Struthio camelus: one gene and its partners. The protein of the gene in region 1 purifies or fractionates together with the protein of each later gene. This does not show direct contact. Links are inferred from orthologs where the notes say so. Each region holds a gene or a part of one and is shown in the gene's direction. Other genes may lie near its edges. The genes, in order: SMARCC1, SS18, BCL7A and DPF2.

The links.
Region 2: the proteins of SMARCC1 (region 1) and SS18 purify together in Homo sapiens (affinity purification with mass spectrometry; 4 studies listed by BioGRID and IntAct, counting the BioPlex papers as one, with this or other methods). This does not show direct contact. The link is inferred for Struthio camelus from reciprocal best matches to the Homo sapiens genes SMARCC1 and SS18.
Region 3: the proteins of SMARCC1 (region 1) and BCL7A purify together in Homo sapiens (affinity purification with mass spectrometry; 4 studies listed by BioGRID and IntAct, counting the BioPlex papers as one, with this or other methods). This does not show direct contact. The link is inferred for Struthio camelus from reciprocal best matches to the Homo sapiens genes SMARCC1 and BCL7A.
Region 4: the proteins of SMARCC1 (region 1) and DPF2 purify together in Homo sapiens (affinity purification with mass spectrometry; 9 studies listed by BioGRID and IntAct, counting the BioPlex papers as one, with this or other methods). This does not show direct contact. The link is inferred for Struthio camelus from reciprocal best matches to the Homo sapiens genes SMARCC1 and DPF2.

Annotation. Positions count from the first base shown.
Region 1 is NC_090943.1:1,277,997-1,285,748, forward strand, and holds the start of SMARCC1 (SWI/SNF complex subunit SMARCC1), read left to right. Parts: upstream 1-4,563; coding exon 4,564-4,842; intron 4,843-7,752. UniProt on the Homo sapiens protein: Involved in transcriptional activation and repression of select genes by chromatin remodeling (alteration of DNA-nucleosome topology).
Region 2 is NC_090943.1:122,326,599-122,334,618, reverse strand, and holds the start of SS18 (protein SSXT), read left to right. Parts: upstream 1-4,541; coding exon 4,542-4,610; intron 4,611-4,980; exon of another isoform or gene 4,981-5,177; intron 5,178-7,420; coding exon 7,421-7,497; intron 7,498-8,020. Other genes in the region: PSMA8 (proteasome subunit alpha-type 8), read right to left, coding at 4,188-4,543. UniProt on the Homo sapiens protein: Appears to function synergistically with RBM14 as a transcriptional coactivator. Isoform 1 and isoform 2 function in nuclear receptor coactivation. Isoform 1 and isoform 2 function in general transcriptional coactivation.
Region 3 is NC_090958.1:17,698,921-17,706,460, forward strand, and holds the start of BCL7A (B-cell CLL/lymphoma 7 protein family member A), read left to right. Parts: upstream 1-4,273; 5' UTR 4,274-4,445; coding exon 4,446-4,537; intron 4,538-7,540.
Region 4 is NC_090976.1:840,650-848,206, forward strand, and holds the start of DPF2 (zinc finger protein ubi-d4), read left to right. Parts: upstream 1-4,317; 5' UTR 4,318-4,371; coding exon 4,372-4,403; intron 4,404-6,767; exon of another isoform or gene 6,768-7,230; coding exon of another isoform or gene 7,231-7,247; intron 7,248-7,557. UniProt on the Homo sapiens protein: Plays an active role in transcriptional regulation by binding modified histones H3 and H4. Is a negative regulator of myeloid differentiation of hematopoietic progenitor cells. Might also have a role in the development and maturation of lymphoid cells.

The DNA of each region.
Region 1 (7,752 bases):
TCTAGACGTGATCCTGGGCAATATGCTCTAGAGGACCCTGCTTGAACAGGGAGGTTGGACTAGATGATCTCCAGAGGTCCCATCCAACCTAAACGATTCTGTGATTCTGTGACGTGATCCACAGCCCTGACTGCAGCAACTACCCCTGGCCCATCAGAGGCCTCTGTTGAGATGGAGCTCCCAAAGGAGGACGCAGCACTGCACAGAGTGCCTGGTGCTGAGGCTGGGGCAGAGGGAAAGGCCTGCATGTCCCTGCCTGCAGGAGGTGTGTGCTGGTGGAGGAGCTGTGTCACCAAGTTAAGGAGATGCAGGGGGGAGGTCAGCTGGCTGTGCAGCCTTAGGGATGACGAAAAAGCGATTGACGGCTTTTCTCTGAGACCCTGCAGCTACAGGCAGAGTCCCTGCTAAATCTGTCTGACACCTTTCATAATTTCTCCTTTAACGTCTCAACTTCCTTTGGGACTCCCCATTATGAGAACAGATGTATCTTTGCAGTTGCCCTGGTTGTGTTTTGAGTTAGAACTGCTTCCACCTGTTGGGTAAATTTGCCAGCTATTACTAGCCAATACTTGTTTCTTCATGCAGTTTGGGGGGCAGGGATCCAAAAGACAACATACAAACACCTCCACAGTCCAAAAATCATCTTGTGGCCCTATTATCTTTCACTGCTTTTGTAATGGTTTGTTGGCTGTACAAGGTAGGTGGTTCTTAATTTATGTCTCCGCATCTTTTCTCATCTTAGGCTGCCATCTGCATCCTGCAAGACTGTCAGTGTTTCGTCTATTTCTAAATATCCTTGATTATAAATTAGTACTACCAACTCTGTTCAGGCAAGTTCAGGCAATACCAACTGCTCCACTTTTCTTTTGTGCCAGTACTGAGTCTTCTTTCAACATGTTCCTCCTTTTAATCTTCCACTCAGTATGGAAGCTGGGTCTTGTGCTTACAGTGAAAGCAAGTTCAAGATCTCTCAAGACTGGAAGCAGACCTCGAGTCTCTACTGTCACCTCTTTGCTAAGGGATGCCAGCATCAACTTGGCTACCTTCAGGTTACATACAGAACTCTCATTAGTCTTCTGTGCTCAGATGCTTCATCAAGGTGTGCACTGTTCACAACGCCACTGAGCATAATCCAACCAGGTAAGCTTTTTCACGTGCTGTAAATTTCTGTTCTGCTGGGGTTACAATCCTCCATAGTATGGGATGAAGTGAAGGACCACGATCCTGTGAGCACTGACGCAGCACCCTGTGGGATGCTGAGCAATTGTAGCTCTCCCTTAAGAGAGAGGAACTCTCTGCACTTCTGCCTGCTCTGGTCTCCCTTCCCATGAGATATTTTCTTCGTGAGATCACACAGCAGGGCAGCTTTTTCTGATTAGCCTTCTATAAATTCCCAAGAGAACCCTGTTAGGCTCAAAACTGACCATAAGGCAGTTCTAGATATAGGCACCCAATTTACTCCCTAATCACCTACCTCCACTGAACCTCTCAAAGTTTCCACGCAAACCTGAGCTTCAGTTCACAAGTCACCTGCTTGTACTGTGAACTCTCCCTTTGCTTCCTCTGGTGTTCGCACACTTAGACACGTCCTAAAACAAGATTATCGCATCCTTGTCAACTGTCAGCTAGTCTTGAAGTACAGCTCTTTTCTTAGTCTTGTTTGCAGGCTTGAACCTTTTTCCCTGCCACAGGCAGGGAAATGATGCCACTGCCAGCATAATGGTCAGCACGCTCAGATTCCTGGAACGCCTCAGGTGACCGAGCGGAAAGGACACACTTCTGGAGCACAAACTACTCGCTCGGCTGTCCAGGAAATCACAGCATTTGTGTTGTCTGCCAAGCATGACTGAAGGCGGTCAGCAGGTCCAACGCTTAGAAGGTTTGGGAACGCAGACAGGAAAAATGACTGAATAAGCCTCGTTTCTTTAAGAAACTAGGCTAAAAGCTAGTTCTCCCTACCCTGTGACAGTCAGCGAAATCATATAAATCAGAGGGGTAAGCTAGTCTACACTCTCAAAAGACAATTCAGATTAGGATAAGCAGGGACACTCTAAATTTGGCAGAATGAAAAAAAGGCAGATAATTTGAGATGTCTGGAGGCAGGGCCTGAATAACATTCCCCACGTCCTTGAAATCTCAAGGTTCTTACATGGCACATCAAAAGTCTCAGTTTCCACCAGATAAAATACTTGATTCCATACTTTTCCACTTTCAAGGCCCATATTAATCCTATTCCAATCTACCTAAGAGAATGAGTCTTAACAGCAGAAACCTATGATTACAGGGCAGGCAGACCCAGATCTCCTTCTCTAACGTAACTAAAATACAAACGTTTTCCTTAGTTTTCACAGTCATAAACATCAGAATCTGAATTCATTTTATTTCTTCGGAGAGCTTTTACAAAATATCAGGGCACATAAAGTTCACTGAGGTACAACTATGTCCTCCTCCCTTCCCCTCTTCTTCCCCCTTTCTTTTCTTCATGCTTACATACTTACACAAGTATGTCCTATATATCAGGATTCCAAGAGAGGAGGAACTTAATAGCAATTATGACCTTAGGAATTTCTGCCCCCCAAAAGATTTTCTACTCCTGTGCAGCAACTCATCCTCCTGGAGTTGCGTGAATATGGTTTTCTCTAGGCCATGCTGCGAAGCCATCCAACACTAAACTGTCGTTAAGTGACTCAGACTGCAAAACCACATACTATATCTCCCTATAACCCATCCAAGGAACTACTCGAGATTATGATATTTTTCTCTTTTGTTTCCCTCCGTACATGTCATTCTTACCCTTTCCAGCAGATCCAGGGAACGGCTTCCCTTTCCAGCTCAGGTGCAGTAGCGAATTAGAACAAAGAGCCATCTGTAAGCTTAGTGCTTGACAGCTTATCATCACATGCATACCCTGTTATTTTCAGCAGTATAATCATTGCGTAATGGGGAGATCACAGGCTTCAAACCTTTTTGAAGGCTGAGGCCGTTTTCCGGTCTTCCATTTCCTTCCCCCCTCCAACCATTATTCATTTTAATGCCGTTTTTTCTCTTCTGTGCAAAGCTTTAGCCACCGAAGGAACAACGCACACAATCACGCTGCCCAGGAATGATTTCACTGGCACTAACACTCCACCACATCCTGTGGTAACAACTAGAGAACAAAGAGCCTGGGCTGGTGTCCGAAGGCTGAGACATGCCTGCTCATTTCAGCTCTGCCGAGGAATGCAAGAACTGTCCTTATAGCAATGGGCCAACTGTATTCAGAAATACAGAAGGGAAAAAAAAAACAATAAACCTGGTCACATCTCTGCAGCAGTACCTCGGGATGAGATGTCCTTCAGGTATCCCATACAGAGGTCTGATGCTTTGCTGTCCGCTGCTCCTAAGACAGAGTAGCAAATATAAGAAGGTAAACGGCTCCCCAGACATCTCTTTCCACAGCAGGATAATACAAACAGCAACAGCCAGGCTGATTTATTTCTCATATCAGCAGAAATCTACTGCCATAACGGTGGTGTCAGAAATTTCAACGGCCACCAGCTAGCCCAAAGATGAGTGTCAGGAGGCATTTAACAGAACAAGTTTAACTTCCCACTCTATACATCCAACTCCTCTCTACCGGGATAAGAGATTTAAAAGGAGCTCACATCAGAGCTGCAGTCTCCACAGCCACAGGTAACCTACTCAGGAGCTCGGCCCAGCACAGCGCGACAGCAGCAGAGGCTGAACCACGGGCAAACGACCCGAGCCGCGCCAGCACTAAGGACGACACGTCCCAGCAAACCCAGGGACCCCACCGCCGCACCGCTCGCGCAGCAAGGAACCCGAACAAGCGCCCTAAGCGAGGCGGGAAGGCGGCCGCTCTCTCAGCACGCCCTCAACTTCGCGCCTCAACCCACGGCCACTTCTTCGGACCGGCACCGCGCGTCACCCCCCGCCCCGCCTCGGCTCGGCGCTCTCAGGCCTCAAGGCCGGGCTGTGAGGAAATGGCGGGAGCCGCGGCCGCGCTGAGGCGTCACCGCCGCGCCAACGGCCGCCGCGAGCCCCTCTGAGGCGGCGTCGCCCCGACAACGGCCGCCGCGAGCCCCTCTGAGGCGGCGGCGTCGCCGCGCACGCGCACGCGCGGTGGTGGGGGGGAGGGGCGGCGAGCAGGGCTGCGCGCACGCGCCGAGGCTGGCCGGAGGGGGGCGGGTAGGTGATGGTGGTGGTGGCGGCGATGGGTCCCCCTGCGCGCATGCGCCGAAGTCCGGCCGACGCACACGGGGGGGGGGGAGGAGGAGGAGGAGGAGGAGGAGGAGGAGGAGGAGGAGGAGGACGGAACTCGGCGCATGCGCCCCGAAGCGGTGGCGGCGGCCGGCCGTTTGGGGGGGAGGGGCGGCGAGGGCGCAGGCGCTGACCGCGGCGGAGCGCGGACGCCCAACGGCCGCCGCGGGGGCAGGGAAGGAGGCGCGGGGAGGGGGGAGCGGAGCGGAGCGGCGCGCACGCGCACGCGCGGCGGCGGCGGCGGCGGGGGGCAGCGGTATTCCCGAGCATGCCCGGCGGGGCGGGGCGTGCGGGGCTCGACGCATGCGCGGAGTGAAGCGAGTGGGAGGCGCAGGGCCGCGGTGGCGGCGCTCGGCGAGGGTAACAATGGCAGCGGCGGTGGCGGCGGGCGGCGGCGCCGCGGGGGCCGGAGCCGCGGCGGCGGCGGCGGCGGCGGCAGCGGTGGGTGCCGGCCCGGGACTGGCGGCGCTCTCGGTGGCGCGGCGGAAGGACGGCGGTCCCACGGGCAAGTTTTGGGAGAGCCCGGAGACGGTGTCCCAGCTCGACTCGGTCCGCGTCTGGCTCGGGAAGCACTACAAGAAGGTGCGGTTCGGCTCGGGGTGGGGGGGATCCCGGTTCCGATCCCGGTTCCGGTCTTGGCGGCGCCTCACAACGGGCGAGGCGGCGGTTTAACGGTCCCGCGGAGCCCGCTCGCCGCGGCGCGCGGGAAAGTCGCCTCAGGGCGGCCCGGCGAGGGGGGGGGGCCGCGCTCCGCCGCCGGCCTTTGTCAGCCGCCGCCTCGCCGCCGGGGGGGTGCGGGCTCGGCCTCAGCACCGAGCCACCCCTCTGCGGAGGTTTCCGGCCGGTTCAGGCTGGGTGGGGAGGTGGGGAAAAAGAAAAAAAAAAAAAAGGGGGAAAAAACCCGACATCCCCTTGTCTTATCAGAGCTGTTTTCGCGGAGTTAACGCGTGCCTCGCATCCGCGTTTATACCGGCTGTAGCTGCAGCCGTAACTTTTCTTGTGGAGACAAGTCCCTAGAGCGGCTTGCCAGGATGTTATATTAGGTTTCGTTTAAGCCGCACCCCTTAAGCGTTAATGGGTTTAAAAAAAAGGGGGGGGGGGAAACAAGGCTGCTCATGCTGTTGGTAACTGCGTGTTGCTAAATCTAATGAAACGCGACAAACCAAATGCTTGCTGCTTTGGTTATGGCTGCTTCACTTCCATCCAGGAGCGCCGTTGCTTGCTGTGTGTTGTCCTTGCACCCTTGTTCCTCTTCCACCCTTTGTTGTGTTCTGCTTCTTGCCTTTTTTTTTTTTTTTAGGTGTTTTTCCTGTTTTCTAGCTTTCCGTGCAATTCCTTATACATAGGTCGAGAAAAATTGGCTGACAGTAACTTTCCCAAGGACAGATGTGTGTGTCTGGACCGCCTTGTAGAAATCAAACTGAGTGTGCTTTATTCTTTGCTGTCCCCTGAATCTGTGGTAAATATAATCTGTCTTTTCTTCGGGAGGTCTGGTTTAAACAAGCATGGGCCAGTTTACCTCTTGTTGCTCCGCTGGTGCTGTTGATTTGATTATTTGTGCGGCAGCGCTCTGAAACGCGTGTGTGAACTGATCTGGGTTTAAAAATAAAAACACAACATGGTTAGAGGTGTGTTTTACCGGTCTTTCTGCGTATCTCTTTAGAGTGCAGCCACATAGAGTTGAATCAGCGCAACGGGGGACCAGTAATAATTTGAGTGAGCAGCTTAAACTGTGTTGATAAAGAAATAATAGTGTAAAACGGTGTCTTTAGTTTGACCTTTTATTGTTTTGATTGTGCCTTTTCCACTGTTTCTAGACTTTTGAGGAGGAACGTTATTTCGTTTTGTTGTCGTGACGGATTATCGACAAGATTATAAGAAGTTTCTTGATTCTGAAATGGCTTAGAACTGGCATGTGCCACTTTGCTGATGAGCTTTCCCAAGTCGCGTTATTTTAAGCGTTAACAGTTATTGCTAACTCTACTCGTCCCTTGCTGTTGTCAGTGAAAACTATCTAGATGAGTTAGTGCTCACCTTACTGTAGCCTGGCAGGGCTCTTATCTGTAGTACAGGGATGGGAGCTTTCCTTTTGTAGATCGAAGCAGAACTCTATGTTATAATTACTTTATACTTAATTGCTATTACTGATTAGAAAGATTAGATGCTTATATTTACTTCTTAAACTCTGGAAGGTAAACAGAACTGGCCGAAGCAGACATCTGAAATTTACTTGCCCAGTACGGATATTGCTGTATCAATTCCTTGAAAAGTAAGAACAAAAACTAGAAGTCCTCCTTGTTTTGTGAAACAAGGAAATTGGTTATTGGTACTAATGTTTAAAGATAACTCTAGATGGAATCGGTAATTCCTTTTTAAACTGTAGCTAACAGACTTGAATTCTTCTTGGGAAATGCTGCTTTGTATAGTGGATACTTCATTCTTACTCTTGTTTCCTGTAATTCAGGTGGCAGTTTTGCAGCAGGTATGTCGTATTTCAGAAGAGTACTTTGGGGATTACAAGTGACATATGCCCATCATACGCTCTTAAAAATTGCTATCTATACATCTCTCCATTGGTAAAACCTTAACCTGTAGCATTGTGTCCAGCTCTGGAAGCCCCCAAGGAAATTGTGGACCAATTGGAGGGCATCCAGAGAACAGCAAGCCTGATCAAAGGTCCAGAAGTCATGATGGGCAAGGAGTGAGTGAGAGAACGGCGATTGTGCATCTCTTCCTTCTTGTGTATTTGAAGACTTGCCTAGAGACAAGTGCAAGACAGTGATGTTCTCCGTGTCTCTAGAGTATAGCTCAAAAAGCAACAGGTTTAAATAGTAGCGTGAAAGACTTGCACAGACTCTTAGGAAACCCATTCCTCACAGTTTATAGGGGTTTTCTAGACAGTATGTTGAATCGCTATCAGTAGAGATTATTGGTGATAAATTCTGTTAGGTAATGACGTGGGTATTGTAACCCTGCTCTGCTGTTAGAGGACGTACTGCTTTCTGAGGAACAAGCTTTTGAGGCCTGTTTCTTCTTCCTAGCTAAAGTGTTGACAGTGAGGAAGGCCCTTCCATTGATGTACAGAAAGACAGCGTGCATTGGGAGTTTGTGTTGCGGAGGGGAGAAACAGCTGATTGAGTAGAGGATGCTTATAAAGATGGAAGGAGTACTGGGGATGGAGTATTAGTGACACCAAGCATAATGACAGAAAACAAAATTGTGTATTCCGACCTTCTATGTCCTTCCCTCTTTTTGTATGTGTGATATATGTAACTCTTCTTGCTCCCGTTCCCTGTGTTGAAAGGTATAGGAAGTCCCGTACTTCTTCCCAGGCCTTGGACTGTAATTCGGATGTGTGGGCCTCTCTTCCTTGTGAGTTGCAAGCTGTGTTTCATGCTGTGGTTTTTAAGACCTGGAGGAGTTGAAATCTTTCATGGCGTTTGGGAAGATTAACTCTAGCGTCATAAAGGTGTCCATTGTAAGTGGAAATTG
Region 2 (8,020 bases), about 120 Mb from region 1:
CATGTAGGAAATCCCCCCAAAGTCACAAGATCACACCAAGTCCAGTTAGTGAAGCCCATAGAAATACTGAGCCAAAAATTGTATTTCTTCCTTTTGGTAACTTTCCTTTTTATCTACCCAAGGAAGCTACTCCTTGAGATTTGCTGTAACTGCTCCCTGATTTCTAATCTAAAAATGTTAGGAAACACACAGGCATAAACCCAAAACTCTTTTCTTTTTTTTTTTTTTTTTTTAATCACAAGATGAAAAAAAAGTCAGCCCTAAAAAAAGGCTCAAATTTGCCCTGCCATCCTACTAGCACTAGACTCTGAGCTATCATATTTACTTTTAATAAAGTGATTCTTGTCAGTTTGAGGTGAATGCACAAAATGAGGTGCTGTCTCCGAGAAAGTTCTAACTCTCAGGAATCATTCTCAACACGATACTGCAATCTTTAGTCAAGCAGGTGTAAGCAGCATTACCAAAAACGTCTTTGCTCTCCTGTCTTGTACTGTCAGCTTAGTAAATACCAACTTTAAAATGTGAATTTAAGTTTTGAATTAAAATTTGAAAATGATGATGGATCAGCATTCTGTATTTTCCTGCTTGTGAAAGGGAATGTTTTCTGATCCCTTTTTATCCGTCTCTTCTATTCCAGGGAATTTATGGAAAATCGGATAATAAAAACGGCAGAAAATATAGGCAGAAACTGAAGCTACCTTATTTTTTTCTCAGAACCGTTGGAAGACCGCATCACTGCAAATCTTACAGCTTTCCCCAAAACTAAATCAAATGAAGCCCAGTGCAGTGAGGAATTTTGACACACTCCTGAGGAGGCTAAAATCACTCAACTGTTATGCGCTTCATTTCAAATAGATAGCTTTCTCTAGGAGCCATATGTTAATGCTTTCTGGACCCTAATCTCAGAGCCTATATTGTTACCCAGGTACTTGTGTTTGAGAAAGATGAGCTGGAAACACAGGGAAAAAAATGTTTCAGAAAAGGGCACATCCTTCTCTGTCTGCATTCTTCTCCCTTCAAAAAGTATGAAATACTGAAATACACATGAAAAAAAAAAAGGATGCTACACTGATAAAACTTGGAGCAGAGATGGAAAAGAGCTGGATGAAACATATTTTGTATTTGAAACTCTTTGTGATGATCTAGATTTATGTATCAAAATTACAATTAAATAATGTTAAGGTTGTGAGTAACTCAAGAGTAAAGAAATGTGCAATTAAAAAGAAAATATACCATATGTCCTTCGATATCTAGGCATATTGCAGTGCATTAAGAAAGTCATAAAAGAGACACCCTGTTGTGGTTATGTGTTCCGAGACATGTGGCACGTTTCCATTGTAGCTATCTATTTCCCTGCCTGTATGCATCTGTGCCATTATTTAAATGTTGATTTTCAATGTGATTTTCTCTTTCCCCGTTAAAAAATGGAGCTGCAGTCTCTTTTTTGAACTTTTCTTTAGATCATGAACATGGAAACCCCAAATTTTAAACATATGAATGTAAAATCATCACAAAGAAAGGGGAATAACTGGATTTAATTTACAACTACCAGATAAAACCAGGCAAAAGAGACAGTTTTAATTATTTTAAATGAATGATCTTTTCTTATGTCTGTATCTTCCTTTGGTAACAGCTGAATTCCAAACATTGTTCTGCATTTGGAATGGAAAACAGGAATGCACTTAAAAGTATCTAGTATTTAATTTAGGCCATCTCTGGGAATTAGGATGGGCAATTACTCCTTTCATTTTAAGGTTCCACCATCCCCGTGCAATCCCACAAACCTTTTTTTTTTTCTTCTACTGATCATCAGCCTGAAAGTGTGGGAGAGCACGATGCATTATTCTGAGCTTAAAAGCAATTGCTATGTGGCTGACACCTAACCCACATTGTGTCAAATACTGTCGTCACCAAGATACCCCAATGCAAAACATTTCAGAAACAGCAGCTGTCTAACTAGAGGATGGCAGCAAGGTTAGTTATACTTGTCGGAAGAGAACAGCATTTTGAAGAATTCTCAGTGTTCAGAATACTTCATGAGAATGTATTTGTCCTCTGATTGCTGAAGGTGCCTGCCGCCTTAGAATACTTTCCGACACATCCCTATTTCTCAAAAGCCAAGTATCTACTTCTGCTAAGGAAATAAGTCCTGTTTCTTCTATTGCAACTGGCTAGAAGGTAGTACCTTCTCATTCTATTCTGGCCACAGTGATCTTGTACTCTTTATTCTTAGGACTGTCATTTGTAGTATCTAGAAATAATATTGATTTGAGCACAGAGCTATTGCCACATCTCTGTGGTATGAGTGCACTCCAAGAATATTCAACAAAAACCATGAATGACCATGAAGCCCATCAACTTCAGAAAAAAGGGTTTCTTCAACCATTTCTTTTTGCCTTTGTTTTCCTACAAGTATGATAATACTGCTGCTACAGATAATAATGAAATGTGTGGGAAGGTGAGAGAAAAAAAACTGCTTGTACAAATAAAGTAAAGCGGACCTAGATACCATGGTGATGAGTGAAACGTGTAGAAACACAAACAACCTAATGGATATGCCGGCACTAGTCCTCCTCCTTAAAATGACCTATAGTGAAATGACTGGGCCAGAATCACTTTCTGGAGAGGACAGCAAGCCAGATTAGCATCGCATCAACTCAAGGTCCTATATAACCTGAAGAGACAGGGCAGAAGAAGCACCATTCTGGGAACAGAGAGAATCAGGCCCAGGCGACAGTCCCTTGGAGAGGGGGATGCTTTGGGAATGCAAGAACAGTTTGGAGACAGAAGCCTGGGAACTGGTTGTCAAGGGGGAAAAAAATAGGGGATGATGGGCAGTCACAGTCAATCCTAGGATAACAGAGCCAGGAAGAGCAATCTCCATGGGGCTGGGGAAACAAGCCAGCCTAGAAACAGTCGGAGGAGAGAGCATGCCAGTTGGGAAGCAGCTGCACAGCCACAGGGTGGCCGAGGATGCCACTTACAAATATATGTTGTAACCAAAAAGGCTAGGGCTGGAGGGAAGAGCCAGGGACTTGAGCCAGCAACAGCTGAGAGAGGGAAAGAGAGAAGCGCGCAGAATAAGGGAGAATATTCACATTTTGTTGTGTGGCGTCATGCAACAGAGCAGTGTCCCATCAGCCACAGGAGCAGGCATTTCTGTCAAGGACCAGAGCGCAAATCAGATACTGAAGGTCACTGCCCAATACGTCAGGAAGGAGATGCAGCATTCATGGCCTACAGCACAGCACTAAACAGCATCCAGGCAGGCCAGGGACGTGCCTGGGAAAAAGCAGATTTATGAAGTTTTAGTTTGGGATTTTCTACTTTTCTTTGCCATTACCTTTGAAACTCTTACTATTGTAAAGAACAGCCTTAGACTTTGCAAACTTGTGTATCAGAATATGTGGTGAAGCCCCAGAGATCCCTCCAAAGGCAGCACTGAAAAAAATCAAGGCTGCTTTCAGCAATTTTAGCGTCTATAATTTATTAAAAGTCGTAGCAGCACTTGTTTCTCCTTGTTCGGCTTCGTTTCCATGACAGAGAAGCTGTGGCCGGGGAGGTCAGTAGGGAAACTTAATCACACACAAGCTGGCTGGGCTGGCGGGGGGGGGGAGGGGGGAGTATACAGCCCCAGGGTCTGCTCTTAAACTTTTTTTTTTTTTTAAACCTGCCAGTTCTGGCAATGACTTGACAGCAAAAAACACCACCAGAAGCCTGGAAACGTCAGCGCGAACACTACTGGGCAAACGGCACGTGCCACCGCCAACGGCAAAAACGTCCCAGCGGCACCTCCCCTGCCTCGCATGCCCAGGCCTGCGGCTGCGGCTCCGGCTCCCCACGCGAGAGGCTCTGGCGGTGCCACACCGAAGTCGCCGCGGCCTCGCCCGGGACTTGAACGAGCGCAGGACCCGCCGCTGCCGCCGCTGCCGCCTCACAGCGCTCCCCCGCGCCGCCTTCCCCCGCCGCCTCACACGGCCGCCAGAGCGCACCGCCTGGGCGCAACCAGCGCGGCCGCGGGTGGCGGGGGGAGGAGAGCGCGTTCCTCGGCACAGCCGGAGTGCGTCCCCTGTAACGTGAGCGCTAAAGCGCTCCCCTTCCCCCTCCTCTTCCCCGCCCCCCCCCCCTCGCCGGCCGTACCACTTCGCTGCCTGTCCGGCGCGGAGCCGCGTTGAGCAGGAACGTACCAACGCCAGGAAGGGAAAGGGGTAGCCAAAAAGGCCTCGTGACTGACGGAGGCCACATTTAAACGGAGCGGCGCCGATTCTTGCTCCTTTTGCTTTTCTGAAACCCAGGGAGGCGGCCACCGCCTTATCGACTCTCCCTCTCCGTGCCGGAGAGGGAGGAAGAATACCCTTCCCCCTTTCACCTTTCCCCGGCGGGGTAGAGATGGGCTGGCCCGATGGGCAGCCGCCCCCTCGCCCCGCCCCCCCGGCGCAGCGCGTTCTTCCCGGATCGCTGCCGCCTCCCGCTGCTGTTGGTTGCGCGGGGCGCGTGAGCGGGCGGGCGGCGGGGGCGGCCCCTCCTTGCAGCGGCCCGACATGTCGGTGGCGTTCGCGGCCCCGAGGCAGCGGGGGAAGGGCGAGATCACGCCGGCCGCCATCCAGAAGGTGAGGGCGCGAGAGAGGAGGGGCTCGGCCCGGCCTGGCCCGGCCCCGGGGGCTGCGGCTGCTTCCTGGCGTCGGGACGTGCGCGGAGGGGGGTGGAGGCGAGGCCCCGGGGCGCCCAAAGCCCCTCGGCGGGGCGGCGGCGGCCGGGCCGCGCTGGCGGCGGCCGGGCTGTGGCGCGGCGGGGTCCGACCCCGCGCAGCGGTCGGTGGGCGCGGGGCCGCCCCGCTGCGCTCTGCCACTTGTTCTGGGGGGCGCGGGGCGGCGCCGCCGCTGCCGCCGCCCACGGGTGTTCGCCGTGGGGTGGGCGCGGCGCGGGGAGGCCGCGCGCGCGCGGGGCGGCGGTTGCCCCGGCCCCCCTGCGCGCCCCCGCGCGCCCCCGGGGGGACACGGCACCCGGCGGCCGTGTGGCAAGCGCGAGTCAGCCCTTCAGTACGCTTCGCCCGCGGCACCTGGGGCGAACGAAGAAGTCGGCGAAGCCGTTCCTGTGAGAGGTGCTTGCAAGTGACGCCGCGGTCCTGCTGCTGCTGCTGCTAAGCCCTGTGTAAATGTGATCTCTCTCTCCGTGGGGTGAGCAGAGACTCCCAGATTTGGCTTACCTTTTAATTCCCCTACCCCTGCCCCAAACAAAACCCTCTAAAGTGCTGTTATGGGGGAAGGCTGTGGCTAGAGCTGATGGCAGGGACTTGGGATGCGTCCGTCTAGGCTCCTGTGGGAGGAAGCAAGCTAACTTGCCAAAAGCAACGAGAGAAAGCGTGTTTAGGACTTGTAATAATTAACGATATGTCGCATTGGCAGAGGCAAAAGAGCACACTGAAGTTCAGTGCTGACTCTGTAACATTTGGAAACCTAACTTTAGACCCTCTCTGTCCTCAGTTTAAATCGTGATCTGAAATCTGTTTTAATTTATGGCCGTCAGCTCCTCCTGTAGGAGGAGATGCCTTCCATTTAGATAAATCAGGTGCTGACTTTATTAGAGGACAAGGATGTCAGCAAGGTGTCAAAGTTGTAGGGATCAGGACCTCAAAGAAGACCTCAGAGTTATGATGCAGACCTCTGCAGTAGTGGAGCAGAAGTAGTCTGTGCTTGAGAAGCATAGCCAAAAAGTACACGCCCACTGAGCTGCCTACCAGTAGGTAGTAGAGACTTCAGTTCACTGGGATGCATATAAAGAATGTAGGCACTTAAGGTTTTTTTTTCTTGTGCTGTAGGCCTACCGTTGATTTGATGCTGCCATGCTTGCAAAATCCTAGTATAGGTATAGCTAACAAGTTTTTGTAGTGTTCCTAAGCTGTTGGAAGCCTTGGAGGTGTCTTCATCTGGCTGGAAACTTAAGATTCTTTCTTGGTGATAGGTGCTTATAATTCTTTCAGAGAACTATTTCAATTCTTTATCGGTAACTGCTTGATGAAAACGTTATAAAACAGTGCCTGCAGCCTAGTCTAGGCTATAGTTGTATTCCATTTTATTTACTTTCTTCCTGGCCCTAGCATTTTTTTTCCCCCTCTCCAAAGAGATCTGGCTTACCTGAGAGGGGGAGGGGAAAGGGAATGGAATCATCTAACTGGAAGTCTGATGATCTACTCCCTTTAAGTATATGCTGTCTTCCACTGGAAGATGGAAGTGTTCTGATGAGAGCCTTCATCCAAGGCTCCCTTTACAAATGCGCTGTCTGTTGTATATGAGAAACAGACTTGTATTTGTCTATATATATATATATAGACATACATACATATATTTTATTTATTTACATATTTGCTCCTTTTTCCTCATTTTTTTCTGGTGAAAGTAGCTACTGTATTTCTTACAGAACTTGATGTTAGTACACGTGAAGTGTGTCTGTATATGGGTGTATATGGGTCGGCAAGCCCCTTTAGAGCATGGAAGTACATCTCTTCCTAGTTTCTGGAGTTCAGACGGATGTTCGAAACATTGCAGTTCTGTATGTGTCTGTTGCTTAAGGACAGTGTTTCCAGGTCTAGCAATTTTAGGCAAGGACGATTGCTTACTGACTGTTCTTGTCAATTCTGGCAAGTTACTGGTTTAAGTTTAGGAAGACTTGGTTTATTGGCTTATTAGTTCTTACATGGATACAAGTCTTGAGTGGACTGTATGAGGTCTCTGAATCTGTACCTTTTTCATATTAAAGATAGGTTATTTGGAAGAAAAAATAAATATTTTAATAGGTTTTTTGTTTGTTTTTATGTTAGATTCTTACAGAGTTGAGGATGCTGTAATTATGGTGTCTGTGCTTCCCTTTCAGAGTCATAAGCCTGCTTTCTAATTTCAGCCGTGTTTGGAAGGGAGATAATTAAGACCCTACCGGTTTTGTGAAATTCAGGAGCTGCAAAAGAGATCTTAAACTAGCCCTCCACTGAGGGCAAAATGCAGGAAAAAGTTAGTGTGAAGTTTTCCATTTGGCTGTAAATTTTTTTGTTTAGTTCAATTAACCTGGATAATTTGGCTGGTAGCTCAGACTAGCCATAGTTCTGCTGTGTCTTGTCTGACCAGAGTGCAAGGGAGTGATTAAGAGGATGTGTGTGTAGGGATGTGCAGCTCTGAGACCAGAGTATATTATTTTTCCTGCTTATGGAACTCAGCAACATCTTGAATTAATGAGTTTTCAGTTTTCAACTGAAAACTGAGAGGGAGGAAGGGGGAGATGGTAGCAAAATAGGTTCTATAAATAATTGGTTGAAATAAAGCTTTTTAGAACACTTGCTTAAAAAGAAGTAGGAGCAAGAATCAAACTCGTCATCAGTTTCTTTCCCTAAAAAGCATGAAACTTATTCTAAACTTTTTTGTCGTTTCAGATGTTGGATGAAAATAACCACCTTATTCAGTGTATAATGGACTATCAGAACAAAGGAAAGACATCTGAATGCTCTCAGTAAGACATTAATCCAGATCTACTGTAAACTGGGTGAATTTCCATCTAGACTGCAGTTCTTGATTTGTTTAGACTCTAGGAGAACTATGCTACTATGAATATAAAACTATTGCTGCAGATATTACATTTATGATTTATTTTCTTTGCAATATGACTATCACTTCTATCGCTAAAAAGTTGTAACTTGACTACTGCAGGTTGATAGCATGCTCCCAATTATGGGGACTGCATAACCAAAATATAGAGACTTTTTTTACCTGTATCATAATTGCACTTTGGGAAGGAGGTAGTTTGTTTCTCAAACCTTCAAAGATATCATAGTATAATATAGTTTTAACACAATATTTGGACAAATATTCCATCATGTGCCAGATGGGACGTCTCAGTCCTATTGAGTCTCTTCCTAAGGTGACTGGTGGTCTGTGGGGTAGGTATTTTTATTTATTTTTGCTTTTATTGATAGGAGTAGAGTGTGGAACAGGTTTGCAGATTCCTTGATACTGTAGTTACATGTCCATAGTCT
Region 3 (7,540 bases), on another chromosome or scaffold:
TGGTCAGAGTTCTGGACTGAATCTATATGTGAAGGTCTGAAAAGATGAGAATGGTTTAGTTTAGCTTAATCAGAGAGAGCATTGTAAAGGCATGTGTAAATATACTGATGACCAGTGCTATAGAAAAGTAAATAAAGTACTTGTATTGTCTTGCTCCTATTGTCAGAACAAGGAGCATTTGGTGCAGCTGAGCATTAAAATAGGTGAAGAGAAAAGTTGTTTCATTCAGTCCATCAACTAGTAAAACTCCTTGCCACAAAGATGCTTGGAAACCAAGGATTCAACCGGTATGAGAAAGGGTAGCTATTTCTATGGCTGGTGTGAACACCCATAAATAGATACGTTAGACACGCTAGAACAATTTCATAACAGATCTATAACCTTATGCTTCAGGGCATGAGCAACCGTTAACTGGGAACAACTGCTGCATTCAGGTTATTCCGGGATACTATATTAAAGACTTTCCCACACCTTCCTCTTCCTCCTCTGAGTGATGAACTGGCTACTGCCACGGACACTGGGCTACCTGGACTGTGGGCTGTCCTGTGCCAGGGGCTCTTCAGTGGAAATAGAAGCACAAGCCCTTGCAAGTGCAACCTAACCTAAAAAGCCGTCTGCAACGGCTCCAGTTGGAGCAACGGCTCCAATTTCTCCCTTTGATAAATATGTTTGGCCAAAACGCACAGTATACATGAACAATTTTCCCTCGGATCAACGCTTTCCTGTGTTGGGATCATGCATTTCCATTGGTGATGTGGTCTGCATCTCACAGAAACCAAATCCTCCTTCATACTACCCTATTCTGTTTGTACACTGTTCTTGTTAGAGCTATCTGCTAGTTTTTGTGTTAATGATACCATAACCCAAGAGACTGGTTTCGCTTTATTGTACAGGAGAGCATATGACAGAAGAAGAGCTGGCAGCATGTCTGACTACCTTGCTGGGCATGAATCCAGAGGGAGGAATAACTAAACCGGGCACCTCCGATACCTCAGGTACACAGGATTATCGTTCTACGCAACACAGAAGTAGAATTGCTTCGGTTCCCCAACAGAGTAATTTAAATTGCAAACCTATTACCCTGTTAGGCCAAGAGCTGTCAAAAATATGCCGACAGGACTGCAAAAATAGCCATAGAGCTATAGATTGTCCTTGATACATGCAACCATTGCATGGGTGTATATAAAAATAAATGAGCAATGAGATGTACCTGGGACCTGACAAGATTACATTGGTGTTTATCTGCTGGCTTGGAACTGAAATTAGAAGCACACAGTGGAAGGTTTACATGCCAAAGTCCACAGGCAAAAGGGAATCCTAGAATATGCAAATTATAGTGTTGATTTCATCCAGGCAGTAATGCCCATTATAACGGAACTGTTGATAACTACCACATTTGTATACAATATATGTCCCAGTCTACACCAGTCTAGAATAGCAAATTATAGTGTTGATTTCATCCAAGTAGCATTGCCCATTTTAATTGGAACTGCTGCAAAGTACCACATTTTTATACAGTTCATGTCCCAGTCCACGCCAGTCCGGAACAGCATCCGGTCAGGGCTGTCAGCCCACGGACCTGTGGGCTTCGAAGGTACCTCTTCTGAAGGGAACTGTCTAGCGCTGTAAACCAACTTTGAAATCCCTGGATTCCGTAAGATCCTAGAACCAAGTGAAATCAGCGGAGTGTAAAAGTTCCATTTGTTCTCGTGACTTTTCTGAGATAGGTATTTACTGCAGGATGAGGCTGTCAGCCTCACAGATTTGACAGCTTGTCCCCTTATAAGGCATAAGTATAAGGGCATAAAGTATTAAGCTAAGCCAATCCTTTTTCACGATCGCTTCAGACATCTTCAAAACATTCCATCCACTTAACTGCTGCTTATAAACCTTACTCTGTGGAAACCCATTTTTATGTTGCTGTTGTCTGTTTTGTGTTGTTGGTGTTGTTGTTACTGCTCTCCAGGTGCAGCAGCTTTACTGGAAGAAGAAATTCCAGATGAAATCACAGCAGAGATATTCACTGCTGACATTCTTGGCTTACCTATTCCTGAACCAGAAAAAAACAGAACAGAAAAAAGAGATGAATCTTGGATCCACGAAGGCTCGGAAGCATAGCTGCTACAAAGTTTTCTACTCGTTCCTACTTTGCAATCTCCTCTCCTCAAGTATCTGTGAAATTTGTATTTTGCATTTATGAAAAAATAAAGGCAATATAATTTCAGACTGAACAAACACTTGTCTAACCCCTGGTTTAGCGCAGGCCACAAACCTGTGGGATCAAATCTATTTCCCAAATCAAGCACGGTCCTAGTATTCCACCTTCTGTACTGCTACTGTGGAAAGTTTGGATTTGGAGATCATCAGTGGAAGTATTTCTGCCATTCAGGCATGGCCAACACTCCTAATACCCTTTCGCAGGGAAGTTAATAAACAGTGGTTTAAATGAACATGGTGCCGTCCTGAAGTGATCTTCTGGGAGAGCAGCATGAAGACTCCGCTGTAAAAACATCTATCTTGTAGTCCAGTGAGCCATTAGAGAACATCACTATGTACAGAATCGCAGGGGTGGTTGCAAAGAATAAAAGAGTAGTCGGTGCATTATCTTCTTGCATTGATCATCCCTGTTCTTGGCTAGAATCTTCCCAGAATTCATTTTAGGGTGGGTTTGTGCCAGATGAAGCTGTTCTGATGCAGTCTATTTTCATCATGCTGAGGCGATGTTTATTTGTAAAACCTGACAGTCAAATAGCGACGTAAAAGTATTATATGGATTGTCTACATTGATAAATGTAATGTACAAAATGCCTGAATACATCAGAACGGATTGGTAATTATACAAATAAATCCATCAGTAATCCATCCTTCAGCCCTCAGTAAAGAAAGGAACAGTGAGATGCAAATTAAAACCAGGTTTCTATTTTGGTCTTTACAACTTGTGTTTTTCTTTCTGAAAGTAGTAGTTCCAATTAGTAGTGTAATACCAATGGGACAGCATTTTACAGTGTTTGTATAAACAGTGTAATGAAGCTGATATAAGTTGCTGTAGAAAGATCAGTGAAGAGCTGTTGAACGCGCTTCCTTCTTTACATCTTCCTCAGCATCAATTTGAATAATAATGTAGGCCCTTAAGAAGCGTTCCTTTCAGTGGCAATGTTTATTAAATCGAGACTGCTGTTACCTACCGTAGAATATCTGGGGCTGTTCAGTTAGCACAAACAGCAAGACGTTACAACTAGGTACAAGTTAATAAAGAAGTCCAGTAGCACAGTGACCAGGGTATGTGAGGTTAGAGAGTTTCTGCAGAGCATGACTTCGCAGGTAGCTCTCTCTGCCCGTTTACTTCTATGCGCAAACACTCCCGTGTATCTGTGCTGGCTCAGATCCTCACCCCCTTTACATCGCCCTAATTCCATGGAAGCTTTTGGAAGCACTTTAGGCAGCTGAGAAGCCTTACAGACTCTGCAAAAAAAATCTGCATTTTGTGGATTTATTAAACGTGCTGTTTAACAAAGCAGATGTTTTGCTTAACAGGAAGCATTGCCAGTCACCGCGCTCGAGGTCTGCAAAACGGTGTCACAACCACTTGCACAAGGGCTGGACGCAGTTGTCACTCGGATATCCCCCTCGCGCCTCGCGGGGTGGCTACGCTCCAGCATCCGGTGTGCTAAGAACAAAGTTTGAGGCCAAGCGGGCTGAATTCCCCCCCCACACACACACCCCGTAGACTGAGCACCCCGGGGATCTTCCTCTCAGCGCAGGCACCCAGGCCGCGCGGAGAGGCGACCCCTGCCCTTGGTGGGGCGCGCGGGCCGCGCCAGGGCGACGCCGAGCCCCCATGCGCCGAGGGGGGCCGGCGGCAGCCCCGCGCCCCAGCCCGGCTCCCCCTTGGCCCGGTTTGTCCCCGCGGCCTCGCTGTGGGGACGTGACGCCCTCAGCGTCGGGGACACCCGCGCGACCCAGGCGTCCGGGCCTCTCTCCTTTCCCCCCCCCTCCCCAATATCCCTCGCCACCAACAAAGGGCCCAGGAGTCCGGCTCCTCCTTATCCCTCCGGCCGGGCTCCCCCCGCCCCGCGCCCCTCGCCACCAACAAAGGGCCCAGGCGTCCGGCCCGCCGCCGGCGCGCGCTGCCCTGGCGGCGCCTCTGCCGCGCGCGCGCCGCCCCCTTCCTCCCCCCCCCCCCGCCCCGCCTCGGCCCCGCGCGCGCGGGCTCCTGCTGCTGCTGCCGGCGGCGGCGGCGGCGCGGGGCGCGTGCGCAGTGCGCGGGCCCCGGCGGGCGGGCGGAGCCGAGCGGAGCCGAGCGGAGCGGAGCCGAGCGCAGGGAGCATTGTGCGGGCGGGCGGACGGACGGACGGACGGGAGCCGCGAGCCGAGCCGAGCCGAGCACCGCGGCCGCCGCCCCCTCCCTCCCCTTCCCCCTTCCCCCCTCCCCCCCTCCCAGCAGCATGTCGGGCCGGTCGGTGCGGGCCGAGACCCGGAGCCGGGCGAAGGATGATATCAAGCGGGTGATGGCGGCCATCGAGAAAGTGCGCAAATGGTGAGCGGGCCGCGCCGCGCCGGGACCCCGCGCCCGCCCCCTCCGGCCCCCCGCGCCCTGCCCGCAGCCCGCCGGCGGCCGCGGGGGGCGGGGGAGCCGCCGGCACCCAGAAGCCATTTCGCTCCGGCGAGTCACATGAAGGCGGCGGCGGCGGCGGCGTGTGAGGGCCGGAGGCGGCTCCATTGTGCGGCCGAGCCCCCTCGCCGCCGCCCGGCCCGCTGCCCCGCGGCTCCCGGCCCCGGAGAGCGGGGAAAGGACGGCGGTGGTGGCGGCTCCTCCCGCCGCCGCCCTCCCCTGAGCGGGGGCCCGGGGCGAGCTGGGCGCCCGGCGGCTTCGCGTGGAGCTGCCGCTTGGAGAAGTGTTTGGGGCGGGGGGGGGGGAAGCGTTAAAAATGGCACTGAACAACTCCAAGAGTTGTTTTGTTTCCCCCCCCCCCCAAAAAAAAAAAAAGTCCCGTCCCCCCAGGTTCGCACCCACGCGGGGCCGTCGGGCCGTGAATCCCGAGCGGAGCGGGAGCGGGGGAGGGCGCGACTGCTGCTCGGATTGGCTCCAAGTTGTGCACTTGGAGGTTGTACCCCCGGCGAAAGCGTTCCCTTTTGTTGGGCCTGGAAAGTGCTTTGGCCTTTTTTTTTTTTTTTTTGAAACACGCTTTTTGCCTTTTTTTTTTTTTCTGCTTTTCCTGTCAAAATCAACACGAGGCGTTGGAACAATACAGCGGAACACAGTTATGGCAGTGTTGGGCGCAGTCAGTCTAGTGTTTTGGGATGGGATGAGGAGCCGTGCCGGTGTGAGCCCAGACTGGATCTTTCTTCCAAAAAGTAGACTGCTCAGTAGTCTTTGTGCATGCATCTTAAAATCTTCCTGTAAACGTGTGAAATCCACAGCAAGTCTCTTCCTATGCGTAGCTGTTTTGAACCTGATAAAATAAGGGGGCACTTTTCTTGTAATCCACAGCTAAATACTTTGATTTCATTAAAAAAAAAAAAAAAGAAGAAGAAGAAGCAGAAATTAAATGTGTGTGTTATCCTGGCAAAATGGGTTGTTGCCTTTTAAATGGCCTTGAGCACATGAATGGGCCAGTTGGCTTGAGCTGGACAAAGAATCAAAATGTGTGTCCCGTAATGCAGGGCACGAGATGGGGATTTCGGAGAATCCCTCCATTGTGCAGGGAGCGAAGCAGTCGGAGGATTACAGCTCTGCTGATTTCAGGAACTCTCTTCTTCTCTGGTGATGTTTTCAAGTGTTGTTTTTTGACTCTTTGGCCAGCTAGGAAGGCTCAAAACTATATAGCGATGTGGCAGTACTTTTTAATCAGAGTAGTATTGTTGGATGTGTGGGACTATTTTATTTGTAGATATCTCATTCATGAGTGTAGTGCGTTTCCTTTGAATCCCAGTTGGTGGATTTCAGAGAGGAGTAGAGGCAGGAGCTTGGCCATTCAAGAAAATGTCTTTTTTTTTTTTTTTTTCCTCTTGGCAAGGGCTTTCTGCCATCATGTCAGTTGCTATGGCTTCCCCTATAAAACAGGAATCTTAGGGTATAAATAGATTTTGTACATTTTAACCCTCCTGAGAGAGAGCTTGTTTGAAAAGGTTACTGTACAGAATCATGCGAAGTGTTTCTTCTGATTACGGTCAGAAGTATTCATATGGCTTTTTGCGTGTGCATCTCGCAAGTATTTACACAAACCATTTTTCATATTTTTAAAAGAATTAATAATTTGCTGGTATAGCTCATGGTTATTTTTCCCCCTGTTCACTTGCAGTCAAGTACATTGAAAATTAGCAAGAGAGATTCTATGTTTTGTGGTTCAGATGTTTTGAGAAGACTTGTGAAACTGAACTTTATACGCTAGCAATTCCTATATCTTACGAAGAGCCACATAGGCAATTTTCAGTGTGCAGTTTCATTTGCATAATAGGAGCAATTTGTTGCCATCCACAGCTTTTCTGTGGAAATGCAGCCACTGAGGATTAAAAAACCTTGCATACGGTGTTTCATAGAACAGAATTTTCTGAGACTTGTACATGTCGCATTTCCGCACTGAAGACAGAAGCGGGGCAGACTGTATTGCAAACCTCTCTGAACTGACAGCGGCCCTGGTGCGTGCTGGCCAGCACTCCCATCAGTAGGTGAAGGTGTGCAGCAGCAACTCTCCTTGTTGTAGAGTGTTACTGTGTGCCTGTATTGCCACGTGTGTGTGCATGCCTATTTGAAGTGAGTTTCCATCAGTACAGAGTTTGTCCCGTAGGAAATATGAATTCTTTCTTAGACAGAAATCCATCCTTTGGTGCAGGCACCTGTCTTCATGCGTGCTTGTATCGTGCCTAGCACTTTTGGTATTACTGGAACTTGACTTATAATAGTAAACGGTGGAGTTATTATAGTTTTGTTAATCTCGAGATTAAAACTAATCTCCTTCGTTTAAATCACTCTCATGAATGAGCATTTATTTTAGAAGACACCTAATATGTTTCCTACAAAATACATGGTTGTGTGGCAGAACGCTGTATTTCCATGGCTAAGAGCATAGACCTACTTCTTCTTAATAGCTGTCACGTTTCTTCCAGTCTATTAAACAGTCATCTGAGTTAAATTTAACTTAATGAATTATAAACAATATGGGCTTATCTTTTGTTTTAAAGATTGGCAAGTATATGTAGGTCTTAAACAGGCCCTCAAGCAGAAAGGGGTGAAAACTGTTGCGTTCTCAGCCAGCATTACAAAATAATGGAAATGCTCTTTTTTTATAAAAGATTTATTAAATGCTAGAAAATGCAGAGAGTTTTACTGGTGAGAACACATAGTGGGCAGTATACAAGTGTAAGTAGTTGGGTGTCTAAGGAGGCAGTGAAATGATTTGCGTGGGTAACTAGGATTTCTGAACTTTCGGACAGCCGTGCAAACATTAAGGATGGAGGCACGGTGTGGCTGACTGGGACAAGTGTCCTGATCTAGGGAATGCACCAGGAATGAGGAAATCTTATTCTGTTGTCCTGTCAT
Region 4 (7,557 bases), on another chromosome or scaffold:
AGAGCCGTCCCAAAAGCCTGGAAAAGACGGGAGAGGAGCTGGAGTTATGAGGGGAGAGAGGGAAAGGATGCTTTAACGGGCTACGTGGTTGCTTGCCCCCCGAAAACCTCGCTGGATCGCAGCGTTTTCAGTGATAAGGCAGCCAGCGCTGCACCTCGCTCCGCCACGGGCCGCTTCTCCCTGCTTTTGGGCTTTCCCCACTCTGGAGTTTCTGCGCCGCGACAAGAGCTTCCTGCTGCGTCCCGGCCCCTTCCTGGCAACCTGCCCCGTTGTTCGCCTGTGCGTTTGCCTCCCGGCTTAGTCACTCCTCAAATCGGAGATTTATGGAAATGAGCATTGCAAAACTATGTGCGTTTTGTTTTTTGGTTTTTTTAATATACTCATTCTAAGAAGTGTGAGTCATTCGGGCAGGAAAGTTACTGGTTCTCAGCTGTTCCCCGCTGCGACTCAGCCTGCGATTGCTGAACAACAGCCTTGCTTTTTCAGGAGATTTTAGCCAGAAAAAGTTAACAAAGGTCTCAAGAGTTTATTTCCAGCTCTGGCGCGGTGGGCAACAGGTTTACCGCAAGCTGAGGGTTTGCGATGTGAGGATCCGGCTCCTGGCCGGTGAGCTGTAGCGCAGAGCAGGGGTTGTCAGCTGACAGCAGCGAGCTGTAGCACAGAGCAGGGGTTGTCAGCTGACAGCAGCTTTACCCAGGCCTCAAAAACACTTCAGGTTATTCCTCGTCCAAAGGTTTCCGGGCAGCAGATGAGTTATATGATAAACTCGGGAACGCCCATGCTGGGTCTGCGCGTGTGTTTTGGCGCGTGGCCCTAGGGAATAAATCGGAGCGCTGGGCGATGCTGCCTTGTCGCGTGCTTGACCCCCAGTGTCACCGCCGTCACACCTGCATGAGCCGATGCATTGTGACCTTCCCATTAGCCCCAGTAACAGGGCAGTGATTTTATGTGCTGCCTTGTTTATCGCTCGGGCTCCTGAACAGCTGGTGAGGAAACAAAGCCACCTCGTGCATGCAAATTACGGCCGCCGAGGGATTAGGAAGAGGAGCGGGTCTGAGATGAAACACGGTCGCAGAGGGAGAGAACGCCTCAGCGCCGGCTGCGTCCCTGGCTCGTCGTATAACCTTGGACGTAGATGGAAAGCGACGTGGCTGGAAAACAGTTTCCTAGCGTGGAAAGGAGGAAAAAAAAACCCCAAAACCATCAAGAGGGGCTGCGTGGAAAGGGGAAACAGAAAGAAAAAGAGAAAAGAATTCACCTGGGTGGCGAGAGCCATCGGACAAGCCACGCTCTCCGCCCCGGGTAATAAACTTGAAGACCTTTGACTAACCTAGATTCAACAGAAGGGAAAAGATCTCAAAGATATAAGTTTGGGGAATACATTTCTAGGGAAAAGACGCTAGAAAGTTGGCCCTGGGGGGAGAGCTGTTCTGCTAACAACTGTTTCTCTGTAGCCAAAGAAGGCCTCGCGGTTCAGGTGGGATGAGGGAGGGGAGGAAGTGATGCGAAAGTATAGATTTCTGCACTGAAAATCATTTTGACCAAAAGCAGCGATTCCCTACAGATACTAGATAAATCACCCTACCGTTTGCCCCTGAAACGGCCGCTGGCTGGTTTTGAGACCTGCTGGCCCTGTGGCAGTGCATGCCGAAGCCACAGAAACACCTGCAGAGAATTTGTGTTACCTGGGGACAGAGAACTGGGCATCTTATCTGGAGGCCAAGCAGTCTGTGCAGCTCCCAAATTACGGCGTTTTCGGATTCCTGCCTAACCTCACTGTGCAAAAAATAAGAAAGAAAGCAAATGCGCCCGAGGGGGAAGAAAGTAAATTTAAGAGATGTGCTGTAGCCCTCCAGGCCGGCAAGTGGAAAGCGCCAGACGTACCAACAAGGGCACCTTCTCGCGAACAAATCTGCGGCGGCGGCGCCTGTTAAACGTGAGCCACAAATCTAATTTCCTGGGGGACGGAGAAGGGGAAGCTTTCCAGACAAAGAGCTAAATTGCGTGCTAGAGAAGGTGTCGGGCGGGGGGGAGGGTTGGACTGTAATGGAATTAAAAAACAAACAAACAACAACAAAAAAACAAAACACAGAGCAAAAACGTTGCTGCTGTCATCTTTCCAAGCGAAGGAGCCAAGAAAGCGTCAAGACGTTGCCGGGCGCAGCTGGGCTGCGGGGAAAAAAGCCACTCAAAATAAAGCAACGCGCTCTCACCCACTGAATTCTTTTTTACCCGGTAGAGTAAGAATTAGGCCCAAATCTCCTCACGGCGCTGCGTGTTCTGTCCCAGTCCCTTGCTGCAGCTGAGTAGCTCAGTTCTATTGCCGCGGCGTCCCACGAGGGCAGGGAATGACTACCCTGCAGCTGGGGGAACATAAGATAGATCAAGAGTTCGTTAATAAAGAAAACGCAGAGCCGACTAGCTATCGCACGGCTGTGCCCCGAACGGATGTGCTTAATGAGCATTAAGGTTGCTTATTCCGCTTTGAAAGCGCAGCCGGGGCGCAGTTTAATGATGGAGTTATTGCAGATTAACAAATAACCGTGCTTCGGCTGAGCTGCGATAACGGCAATTTATACCAGTAATTTACGACTAGACATTTTTCTCTTGCTGTCTGGCTTCAAATTCTCTTGCTATGATTTAAGCCCTGCCCATCTCGCTCCACCCCCGTTAGGCACAAATAAATTGGGTCCGTTCTTCACAACCCATTTATTCAAAGGTCACGGGTCTCCGCTAAGTTTTTCCTCAAAATTTTTCCTCGAGGCAACTCTGCTTCTTTCGCCTTTCATTGCGGACTGCGTTTTCTCCGTAAGGGAATTATGATGGAGCTGCTTAAAGCATGGTAAATCCACCCCTCCCAATTACCGTGCAGCAAATTGCTCATGCAGCCGTGCCTTCTGGCTCCGATTCATCGCACCTCGCTGCAGGCATCCAGCTGCTGTGCTTTAATTCAGGAGCATGGTCACCTCAGGCTTTTTGTCAAAGGAAAAAAAAAAAAAACAGACATAAGATGCTGCAGACACAGGAGATCTGAGTCACCCTCAGCAGGTGACTTATTGACTGCAACGGTCTGCAGTGATGATGGTCCTGGTGTAAAACCTGACCCCAGACTGATCAAAGCCTCTCTCCTTGCCTTATCGCTCCAGTTATTTATTTATTATTTACAAATATTCACAGCTTAATACTTCCCATCCCTTTCTCTTTGCGTTCCCAGACAGGAACGAAGCCATTTAACCTGCGAATGCCCCAAAACGGTGGTTTTCCTCGAGGTGCCCAACTGCATCCGAGGGAGCTCAGAGCAGTTTAGGGAAGCGTGTGCACGGCCGAGGCAGCGGTCATCTGTTCGTGCAGGGCAGAGATCAGTCTGCTGTTCAGCAAATCCCTCCCAATCCTATTTGCTCATTTTTTACATCACTTATATGTCTTCTTGCTTCATCGTTCACCTTTTCCCCTTACCTACCTCTTTTTTTTCCTCTTTTCTACCCTTATTTTACTCTCCCATCCTTTTATGCCTCTCCACCTCCATCCTTCCATCTTCCCTTCATTCGTCTCCCTCATCCTGCACCATTTGCCTCGTGGTCTTTCTCTGGCGCCCTCCCTCACCCCTATTACTCTCTTATCCCTCATTTCATCCTCCCCAGCTCTTCATCCTTCCTCCTAGTATCCATCATCCTCCCCAGGCCTCTACACCCCATCCAAATAGCCTTTATCCCTTCCCGCTGCCCCTGCTCCTTCTTCTCCTCCCCCATTTCCATCACTCACACCTGATTTTCCCTTCTTTTTCCTTCACCTTTTCTATCATTCACACCTGTTTTCCCTCACCCTTGGCTTTGACTCTTCCATTTTACCTCAGCCCTCCACCCCCTCCCTCACTCTGCCTCCCCGCTACCCTTCATCCTCCTCTCCATCAGCCCTTCCCTTCCTTCACCCTCACCCCTACCGCTTTCCAGCTCCGTCCCTCGGCTCTTCCCCGTCCCCGCTTCGCTCTTCCCCCTCACCCCTCCGTCTCCTTCCCGCCTTTCCCCCTCGTTCCTCCATTTTCCCTCCTCGTCCTCGCGCCTCCCCCCTCAGCCCTTTCCCGCCTTTTCCCCCGCGCATGCGCCAAGGCCCCGCCCTGCCACCCAGCGCTTGACGCATGCGCAAAGCAGCGCAACCAGCCGCGCCAGCCCTTGCCTTCAGCGCATGCGCCGGCGCGGGGGAGGCGAGACTGCGCATGCCCGCGCGGCCGCGGCCGCCGTCCCCGCCTTTCTGCGCAGGCGCCGAGCGGCGGCTCCCCCCCACCCCGTGCTCACGCCTCCTCCCCCGCCCCGCCCGGCCCCTCCTTCGGCGCATGCGCGCTGGGCGGCGCAGGGCCCAGGCGGCGGAGGGAAGATGGCGGCGGTGGTACAGAATGTAGTCAAGCTGTGAGTGGCTCCCTTTCCCCCCCCCCCGCGGGGGGGGGCAGAATGGTTCGGCCCGGCCGGGGCGCGGGACGCGGGACGCGGGGCGCTGCCCTCGCCGCGGGCGAGTCCAAGTGACCGGAACCGGGGGGGGGGCAGAAGCGGCGGGGGGGGGGGCGAGGCGGCCGGTCTCGTTGTTGGGGGCGAAGTTTCCTCGGTGGCGGAAGGCGAGAGCGGCCGGGGTCGGCGGCCGGGGGGCGCCGCGCAGGGCCCGGGGCCGGGGGAGGCTCCGCTGAAGGGCCCTGGGTTCCCCCATAGGGTCCTGTGGGGGGAGAACACCTATATGGCCCTGTGAGGGGGTCCTATAGAGCGGTGGGGGTGGGGGATCCCCTCATATGGCCCTGTGAGGGGGTCCTATAGAGCGGTGGGGGTCTGAAACCCCCTATATGATGCTGTGAGGTGGTCCTATATAGAGCTGTGGGGGTGGGGTCCCCCCCATAAGGTCCTGTGAGAGGGTCCCATAGAGCGGTGGGGGTCTGGATCCCCCTATATGGCCCTATGAGGGGGTCCTATATAGAGTTATGGGGGTGAGGTTCCTCCCATATGGTCTTGCGAGGGGGTCCTATAGAGCTGTGGGGGTTTGGATCCCCCTATATGATGCTGTGAGGAGGTCCTCTATAGTGCCGTGGGGGCCTGGATCCCCCATAAGGTCCTGTGAGGGGGTCCTATAGAGTGGTGGGGGTGGGGTTCCCCTATAAGGTCCTGTGAGGGGGTTCTATAGAGCTGTGGGGGCCTGGATCCCCCTATATGGCCCTATGAGGGGGTCCTATAGAAAGGTGAGGGTCTGGATCCCCCTACGTGCTGCTGCGAGGAGGTCCTCTATAGTGCCATAGGGGCCTGGATCCCCTTATATGGTCCTGTGAGGGGGTCCTATAGAGCGGTGGGGGTCTAAATTCCCCTATATGATGCTGTGAGGTGGTCCTATATAGAGCTGTGGGGGTGGGGTTCCCCCCATAAGGTCCTGTGAGAGGGTCCCATAGAGCGGTGGGGGTCTGGATCCCCCTATATGGCCCTATGAGGGGGTCCTATATAGAGTTATAGGGGTGGGGTTCCCCCCATATGGTCTTGCGAGGGGGTCCTATAGAGCTGTGGGGGTCTGGATCACCCTATATGATCCTATGAGGGGGTCCTATAGAGCGGTGGGGGTCTGGATCCCCCTATGTGCTGCTGCGAGGGGATCCTCTATAGTGCCATGGGGCCTGGATCCCCCTATGTGGCCCTGTGAGGGGTTCCTATAGAGCGGTGGGGGTCTGGATCCCCCTACGTGGCCCTGTGAGGGGGTCCTATATAGAGCTATGGGGGTGGGATTCCCCCCATATGGTGCTATGAGGAAGTCCCGCAGAGCAGTAGGGGGTCTGGATCCCCCTATAGGATTCTGTGAGCGGGTCCTATATAGAGCTGTAGGGGTAGGGTTCCCCCCATATGGTCTTGCAAGAGGGTCCTACAGAGCGGCGAGGGTCTGGATCCTCCTATATGGTCCTGTGAGGAGGTGCTATATAGTGCCGTGGGCATCTCAATCCCCCCATAAGGTCCTGTGAGGTGATCCTATAGAGCAGTGGGGGTGGGGGTCCTTCCCTATACAGTCCTATGAGGCGGTCCTGTAGGACCCAGGGAATGGAGATCCCCCCTATATGGCCCTACGAGGGGTCGTATAGAGCGGTGGGGGTCTGGATCCCCCCTGTATGCTCCAGTGGGGGGGTTCTATAGAGCTCAGGGGCTAGGGGTCCATCTCCCCCTATAATGGAGGACCTATAGAGCTGTGGGGGGGAGTATCATCCTACATGGCCCTAGGAGGGGGCCTATGGAGCCTAGGAGTAAGGGTCCTGCCCAGTATAGCCCTGTGAGGGGACCCTTATAGAGCCCGGGCGGTGGGTGTCGCTGCCCCCACACAGCCCTCTAAGAGGGGCCCTTTAGGAGTGCTTATTTCTATATGGTGCTGTGAAGAGACCCTATAGAGGGTGGGGGGGAGTCCCCTTATATGGCCCTGTGAGGGGGGCTCTATAGAGCCCTGGGCCTGGGGCTCCCTCTATATGGCTTCATAAAGGGGAGGGGGGGCCTATAAAGCTTGGGGGGGGCCTGCCCCTATATAGCCGTCTGAAAGGGGCCATATAGAGCCCTTGAAGGGTATAGAGCCCTCCACTATACGGCACTGCGAGGGTGGAGGTTTTAAACCCCCCTGGGGTGGCCCAGGCAGGCCCTATACTGCCCCCCCCCAAAAAAAAAAAGCTGCTTAAAAGATGCCCTATGTCACCTCAAGGTTACATATATATTAAAGTTACATATATATTTTTTTTTCCGCTTTTTTTTCCCCCCCACGGGAAGGAGCAGGTTTCGCCCCCTGCTCAGTGCAGCTTCCGCCCTTCTTTCCCTCTCCGGAAAAAACCCTCTCGGTTTCCCCCGAAGCGAAGCGACGACGCGGCCGGAGCTGCCGCCACCTCCCGCTTCAACCCGAAGCTTTTCCGGCCCGAATCTCTCTCTTTTTTTTTTTTTTATTTTTCTTTCCCCCCCCTTGAAAACCTTCTCGGCCGACGCTCAAAAACTTGGCAGCTGTTGAGCCGGGTTTTTCCGGCGTTTCCCGGGAGCCGTCGCCTCCACGCTCGCTTTCGCTCCGACGCCTCGATTCCCGGCGGGGTCTTTTGTAATAAACCCGGCGACGTCTTCTCTCCTGGCCGTCCAAAATCCGTTAAAAAGAGACATTTCGGAGCAGCGTTTCGACCGTTAGCAAAGGCGAAACGGCCCGGAAACGAACCGCGGCTTGCCGACGGGGCGCCGACTCCCTCTCGGGGCCCGTATGGACGCAGGCGAGAGGTAGGAGCATCCTTTCCGCTCTTTTCCCCGGCGGTTTTTTAACGAAAACGCGCGAAACTGCCAGGCTCCTTTCCGCGGTGATCCACTTTCCTGGAAGCTGCGCTTAAGGGCGCTTAAAATTTGCTGAGTAGCAGCAGTTCGGCGTCGTATACGGGTAAGAGCCGGAAAAAGTCTCTAGGGAGCAATAATCCCGTTTGTCGAACCCATTTATCTGTTTCCTGGCATAAGAAGCGTTTCTCCTGCTCCGGTAAAACATAAACTCTTCCTAATACCTTTAATGGCATTTTTTTTTTTTTTGCATTTAGAGAAA